Linked DNA regions of Rattus norvegicus. The protein of the gene in region 2 purifies or fractionates together with the protein of the main gene of each other region. This does not show direct contact. Links are inferred from orthologs where the notes say so. Each region holds a gene or a part of one and is shown on either strand. Other genes may lie near its edges. The genes, in order: Elmo1 and Dock1.

The links.
Region 1: the proteins of Dock1 (region 2) and Elmo1 purify together in Homo sapiens (affinity purification with western blotting; 12 studies listed by BioGRID and IntAct, counting the BioPlex papers as one, with this or other methods). This does not show direct contact. The link is inferred for Rattus norvegicus from reciprocal best matches to the Homo sapiens genes DOCK1 and ELMO1.

What each region holds. Positions count from the first base shown.
Region 1 is NC_086035.1:49,312,106-49,315,925, forward strand, and holds part of Elmo1 (engulfment and cell motility protein 1), read right to left. Parts: intron 3,395-3,820; coding exon 3,243-3,394; intron 1,137-3,242; coding exon 1,058-1,136; intron 1-1,057. UniProt on the Homo sapiens protein: Involved in cytoskeletal rearrangements required for phagocytosis of apoptotic cells and cell motility. Acts in association with DOCK1 and CRK. Was initially proposed to be required in complex with DOCK1 to activate Rac Rho small GTPases.
Region 2 is NC_086019.1:198,973,365-198,977,184, reverse strand, and holds part of Dock1 (dedicator of cytokinesis protein 1), read right to left. Parts: intron 3,682-3,820; coding exon 3,524-3,681; intron 2,213-3,523; coding exon 2,131-2,212; intron 1,740-2,130; coding exon 1,604-1,739; intron 1-1,603. UniProt on the Homo sapiens protein: Involved in cytoskeletal rearrangements required for phagocytosis of apoptotic cells and cell motility. Along with DOCK1, mediates CRK/CRKL regulation of epithelial and endothelial cell spreading and migration on type IV collagen.

The DNA.
Region 1 (3,820 bases), on a different chromosome or scaffold from region 2:
GGAAAAAATTTATATAGCCACTCAGCAGCTGTGCCTCCTCCCACAAAACCAAGGAGCACAGTCCCTTCATCCACGCAGCAAGAAAGGATTCCCACAGGGGTAGAAACAGCACAACCACTAATCCAAGAGGAGATACCAAAGCTTAGTCCTCCCAAATTCATTTCATGCATTTAAGTAAATAATAAAATCCTGACAAGCAGGACAACAAATTATTCAATAGTAGCAAAATTGATCCAATGTCCCAGACTTAATCATCAATCTTTAAAGGGGGTATTCTATAAAATTCAAGGTAAAAATAGTTAAGTAATATTCTAATCCAGTTGGACTGAGAAAGTGGGTCTTGTTTCCTCATGAATTTGGGCATTCTCTGCTTGTGGGGCATTTAATGGGATTCTTTGCAGTTAAAATCAAGTAGGAGGCTGGCCTACAGCTTTAGTTCTCACCGCTGTGTTGACCTGGTCAGGTTTTTTACTCCTTTGGAACAACTCTTTCCTCATTTGTAAAGTGAAAATAAAATGCCTTTCCTTTAATATGAAAATTGTGCTAATAAAATGCAAATATCAAATGTAGATAAGCTAAATGCTCTTTTACATCTAAGGTCAAATCCAGATAAAAGTATAAACCCTCTGCCGCTGATACAGTCTAGAAGCATCCAGGTAAACAGATGTGTGAATCACACTTTACAGGCCTGCAGTGAACATCCATAGACAGACCATTGTGAACTTGATCTTGATCTTCAGGGCTCACTCTCCTCAGATATTTTACATTTAAACAATGTAACAATCTATTCCGTGGTTATCAGAGTCAACATTAACTTTCCATAAGAAAGTGTGTATCTTGTTGCTAATTTATTTCTGAGACTGGGTTCCTCATAAAATAATCTGAATTTACAATGGATTCTGCTGTTAGATTGGTTTATTAAATGATTTCTTCATCTACTCTTTCCTCCTATGCCCCATCCAGTCTTCAAGGCATGGCTGTTCCATGGACTGAGCTCCCAGAGGAGAAGAGAGTTTCTAGCCCCATCCAGTCTTAGGACTAAAGACCTGAGACTTACCTGTCTCCTCTCATCAGGCGCTTTCAGGAAAAGTGCATTGATTACAGCAATGGTGTAAGTCTGGATTTCTTGGTCTGTCCTGTAAAGACCCAAAGAACACAGGAAATCAGAAGACACTAGTCCCGAGTCAGCCATGGCAAGGCTCAGCATCACACACAAATAAAGCAGGCCTTGCACAGAGGACAAGGGCAGGACCCAGAAAATACAGGCAGCACTTGTGACATAATAACATATTCCCAACATCCCTGGACTGGACAGGTAGACACACAATTGCTATTACACCAGTTGATCAAAAGAGCTCACCTGGTCAAAAGAGATCAGCTGGCATGAGGCCAGCTGGTTTACTCCCTCTTTGTCATCTGATTAAAAGCCAAGTACCCAGATACTGTGGGCTTGTACTCTCTGTCTCTCTCTGTCTCTGTCTCTGTCTCTGTCTCTCTCTCTCTCTCTCTCTCTCTCTCTCTCTCTCTCTCTGTGTGTGTGTGTGTGTGTGTGTGTGTGTGTGTGTGTGTGTGTGTGTGTGTGTGATTTTCTGTCCAATGCCTGGTCCATGTATGGGAGCAGTTGTAGATGTCTTAGCATTTCAGCATTCCTGGGCTTATCTAAAAGAAAACAGCTTTGTTCCCATAGCAACATTACATATTCTAAAATCTTGTTGGCAAACACAAGCACTGTAACAGTAGTAAATGTTGGAACTTCTTGTTCAAAATTTTGCTCTTCACTGGAAAGAGGGCAGAAATTCTGAGGTAAACAGTGAATAAGGGCTCAAGGCAGAAGCCAAGAGACTCAGAGCTACACTCAGGGAAGATACTGTTTCCTAGGGCTGCTCTATCTAGGGCAGAATTAGACATCACATCTCCATCCTTAGCACAAATCTTGGCAAACAACAGGCTTTTTTGTCAGTGAAGTGTACTATAAATGAACATGTGTGCCCCTGAGATTCAGAAATAGAAATCCAGACAGTGAAATCAACATTTCTCACACTAAGAGACAATGAAAACTCTGTCATTTTAAATGAAGCTACTATATACAAAATACATCCTACTAGAGATTGGGCTAAGTCCCTGAGGCCAAAGTCCACAGCTTCTCTGACTTTAGTTTTACATTCTGCTCACACCTTACCTCCAAATGAATTAAACATCTAATGTACTTTTGTAATTTAGACTACAAACATAAGCCAACATCTTCAGTATATTGAGAATTGTTGGCTTACCCCTTCTATTCCCACCGATCTATACTTCTAGGCATGGTTACACGCATCCTGAATGGTTCAATCAGGTTTACTATTAAGAATAAGCAAATGTAACCCAGAAGAGCAGAGTTGGGAGTCACCTTGATGCCAGTCAAACTGTTTTTGAAAACACATCTCCTTAAATCATTTCTAGACACTACAATGCATCCTCATATCCTTCCAACCAACTCACTTCTTATGTGAGCTAGCTCACAAAGTTTCTTCTACCAGCCAACGCCCACCAATATTTAAATATAACAAGCCACATAGCATATCAGAGTCCCTCTCAGTGTTATCAATTAGTTTACCAAAGAGTATAAAAATGGGGAACTTCTGCAAAGATTGCAGGGTTTGAGGGCAGTTGTTTAACCTCCACATCTTACTCAGGCTTTTAAGAAAATAATACACGTGTTTTACTCTTTCACCATTTTATCTATCAAGCCTGAAGTTTGGTGATGGAAGAAGCCTGCCTTTAAACATTGCTAGTTAAGGTGACCTAGTCTAAAACCACAAGCGCCCCACGTTCTCTCTCCATATATCGATCCTAGCTTCAAACATTAGGTTTCAGTATATAACCTGAAGTAACTAACTCCTTAAAATGCCAAAACAATTATGAAAATATTCACAGTGTCACAGAAAATATCATAGGTAATATTATAAAACACAGACCCTATTGAGAACCTAAGAGAAGAAAATATCCTATTGTGTCATGTAAAAAGTAAAACTCAACCAATGTCTACCAAAAGTCACCAAAGCTGACTGTATCCTGTAGTCTAGGCTCTGGGGAGAGACATATGGTTCCTCGGGGATGTATCATGATCAATAAGGTAGTATCTAGTTTGCTCCCAAGTGAAGCTCTTTTGAGCATGTAACTTAACCAGTTCCCAATGTTTCCCAGTCCATCATAATGACTGTTTCCCAGAAACAAGGCACAAGAGTGCCTAGCATGCTTACCCCTGAAGATGAGGAATGAGTTGGCCAATGGTGATCTCCTGAGCTACCTTTTGGTAGAGGTCATGGCTATTGAGAACCATTGACTCCAAAATGGCCAAGGACCGCTGCAGGATTGAGATGTCTATGGCAGACTTGTTCACAAAGCTTGCTATCTGAAAACACAATTAGGTCACAAATGACTACTCATGATTGGATGGTAAGCCAAACAAAGAAGGAAAGAAGGGATCCAATAAAGCAAACTGGGAGCCCAATGCACAGTAATACAGTCAGAACAAAACATACTGCAGAAGAACAAGAAATGCATGGAGTCAATACTGTTCATGAATTGTCACAAAATACAGTTACCCATCTTAGGAATCTGTAATAACTGACTGCCTCTTTAAGAGACATCTTTAAAGGACCATCTTGCCTGTTTTCCCCAAGATTATTATTCTGAGTTTCAGTTTTCAAGAAATGACTTTCTTGTTAAGATAGCAATTTCTAGTTTGCCAATGGTCCCTCCTTGCAAAGTCCTAGGTTGCTTCTTCATCCACAACATCCAGACACATGACTTTTATGTTCTCATTGTATTTCTGTTA
Region 2 (3,820 bases):
ATTGTTGGTGGGATTGCAGACTGGTACAACCATTCTGGAAATCAGTCTGGAGGTTCCTCAGAAAATTGGACATTGAACTGCCTGAGGATCCAGCTATACCTCTCTTGGGCATATACCCAAAAGATGCCCCAACATATAAAAAAGACACGTGCTCCACTATGTTCATCGCAGCCTTATTTATAATAGCCAGAAGTTGGAAAGAACCCAGATGCCCTTCAACAGAGGAATGGATACAGAAAATGTGGTACATCTACACAATGGAATATTACTCAGCTATCAAAAACAATGACTTTATGAAATTCGTAGGCAAATGGTTGGAACTGGAAAATATCATCCTGAGTGAGGTAACCCAATCACAGAAAAACACACATGGCATGCACTCATTGATAAGTGGCTATTAGCCCAAATGCTTGAATTACCCTAGATGCCTAAAACAAATGAAACTCAAGACGGATGTTCAAAATGTGAAGGCTTCACTCCTTCTCTAAAAGGGGAACAAGAATACCCTTGGCAGGGAATAGAGAGGCAAAGATCAAAACAGACACAGAAGGAACACCCATTCAGAGCCTGCCCCACATGTGGCCCATACATATATAGCCACCCAATTAGACAAGATGGATGAAGCAAAGAAGTGCAGACCGACAGGAGCCGGATGTAGATCGCTCCTGAGAGACACAGCCAGAATACAGCAAATACAGAGGCGAATGCCAGCAGCAAACCACTGAACTGAGAAGAGGACCCCCGTTGAAGGAATCAGAGAAAGAACTGGAAGAGCTTGAAGGGGCTCAAGACCCCATATGTACAACAATGTCAAGCAACCAGAGCTTCCAGGGACTAAGCCACTACCTAAAGACTATACATGGACTGACCCTGGGCTCCAACCTCATAGGTAGCAATGAATATCCTAGTAAGAGCACCAGTGGAAGGGGAAGCCCTGGGTCCTGCCAAGACTGAACCCCCAGTGAACTAGATTGTTGGGGGGAGGGCGGCAATGGGGGGAGGATGGGAAGGGGAACACCCATAAGGGAGGGGAGGGGGGGTTAGGGGGCTGTTTGCCCGGAAACCGGGAAAGGGAATAACACTCTAAATGTATATTAGAAATACTCAAGTTAATAAAAAAAAAAAGAAAGAAAAAAAGAAAGAGAACTGCTTCTCAACATTATGAAGGAAGTGACTGACATTCAAAGATATCACCTAGTGGGGACACTTACTGTTCCTTGACACAGATAACTAGGCTCTCACTTTCTTGTACAGCCATCAACAAGCCTGTGTGCAAGCTGTATTGTACCTCCTTTAGCTCCTCGTCTTAGGCTGTGCCTGTCCAGCACTCAAGCACTGAGCCTAGCAAACCCCGGAGTGCTGGCTTCTCCACAATGTGGGAAAGTGATTCAGTGCCTCTCCCAGTAAAAACTGGGATCTGCTTTCAAACTGGATAAATCAGAAGCATCAGAGAAGCAGCAGGTAGGCTCCAAACTATGAAAAACAACTCATAGATTGCCCCCCTCCCCCAAGCAGCTAAGTCCAAAAATTAAAGTGGCCCACTGTCCTTCCTCAAAGTGAATGGTCTGAAATTCTCAAAGCAAAACAGGGGTGGAATTTTTACCAGCCACGCCAAAAGGTCGCCGGAGCCCCGAAGTCAGTTTCCTCGTGTTGCTGTCCCTCAGCTCCATACGACCAACTCGGACAATCTGGCAGACGAAACTAATTTTCTCCCTTTTCAGGTCTTTGCTCCCCAGATCCTAGAAATATTAATTTCCATAAATCATCATGGAGAACTATGATTCAACACGAGTCCAATAGAAAAGGACGTTAAAATGGACCGAGAGTCTGTTCTCAGACCAGATAAGAGTATTTTAAAATTACTCACATGACAGGAAGGAATAAACTAACAGCAGACACTGAACTGGACATGAGCTAAAGAGATGGGAAGGAATTTATCTCCTAACAATACTAAGCAAAGACCAAGCTCCGAGACTTCCACAAAGAGCTCAGGGATTCCTGGGTTAGCCAGTGTCACAAGTGGCACCACCCCCACCCCATAGGCCCCATTCAATGCTGAGAAGTTCCCAAAACAGCCATAATAGCAGGACTCAATGACATTCAACGTGCACAGCCATGGCTGGTACTCACCGTAAACACCGCACGCAAGTTATGTAACCTATCAATGTCTTTTGGTAATCCTGAACTTGACCAGCGGACCAGGTAGTTCTCACTTGAGGAAAGAAAAAAACAGGACCAAATTAATCTTCCAAACATGTACGAGCAGCCAATGTATTCCATAAGACTAAATAATTAACAACATGGAGATTCACTATGCATCTGACTGTGAGTTGATAAGTATCTGGGCCGCAGGTAGCCTCTTTACCTACCGAGCAGGCACTGTGAACAACCTTTTCACTTTCTACACCATGGATTAACCGTTAACAGAAGTATTTTCAAATGACATTTCAATGTTTATAACGTGAAAAACCTCTCTGTCTGTTTAGAATGACAACAATACAGCGCTGTGTATTGAATTTGGAACAATGTATATTTAATTCGGAGCCCTCAATAAAGGCAAGCAAGCCGTAAAATATAAATTGTATCTCCATCAAAAAGAAAGAAAGCACTTATCAGAAGTGAGAGTAAAAATCACCTATATGTTCTGTTTCCTGAAAATAGTACATTTTTAAATTTTGATAAATACAGGAGTGTTGATATATAGATATACACACACTTCACAAAGTTTAATCACAATTATTTTTAATCAGGATAAAGAGAAAGTTATATTGAAGACCAATGTATTTCCAATGGTTTTATTCAATAGATGTTTATTATGACTCTTCATATGACAAGAGGAAATACTTGACATACACAACTAGCCAATCAGCTTAGAGAGGCAGCAAAGAGGCGAAAGCCACAGATAACACTCCTAAACCAAACTTTGCCAAAAGTAAAGGTGTGGCTTGTGGGCTGAGTTTCTTTGCTTTCTACGGCTTTGATGAATATCATGACCAGAAGCCATGAGGAACAAAGTGTTCATCTCACCATTCAACCTACACAGTCCTCCCTAAAGAGAAATCTGGGCAGGAACTCAAAGCAAGAACTCGGAGGCAGCCACTGAAGCAGAGGCCGTGGAGGAACACTGCTTACTGGTTTGCTCACCTGGCCCTGCCCAGTTCGGTTTTCTTTATAACCCAGGACCACCTTCCCACAGTAGGCTGGACCCTCCCATAGCAGTCATTAATCAGGAAAATGCCCCCACAGACTTGCCTATAATAGGACAGATAGAGGGATGTTTCTCAATTAAAGATCCCTCTTCCCAGATGATTGCAGCTTGTTTCAAGTTGACAAAAAAAACTAACCAGCACATTTACTTCAGCTGAGAGCAGCTCCCACTAGTAGGACTTCACCATGCTGGACCTCATCTTCAGTCTGTGGTTCAAAATAAAACCCTCCCTGGTGGAGATGCTTCTTGTCAGGTATTTTGATCACAGCAGTGAGAAAAGCAACTGATGAAGTCTTCAATGGGGAAGTTGCCTACCTGATGAATTTGGACTCCACAGGGTCATAAAGAGACATGAGGACTTCGGCATCTTCTCCTATTTTACAAACCACATTTTTGAGGTTAACAAACAAGGCCAGAGATGGGGTGGCTGCGAACTTGGCTTGTCTGTTGATATCCATATTCTGTTTTTGAGACTGAACAGAAAGGCAGAAAGTCAATGGGATGAATCTTGACTATAACCAAGGCTCTTTCTAATCCCCTGTAGAATAGGGAAAAGGTACTACCAACTGCCACCTCCCAGCCATGATGCTCATGCAATCACTCTGTCACCAC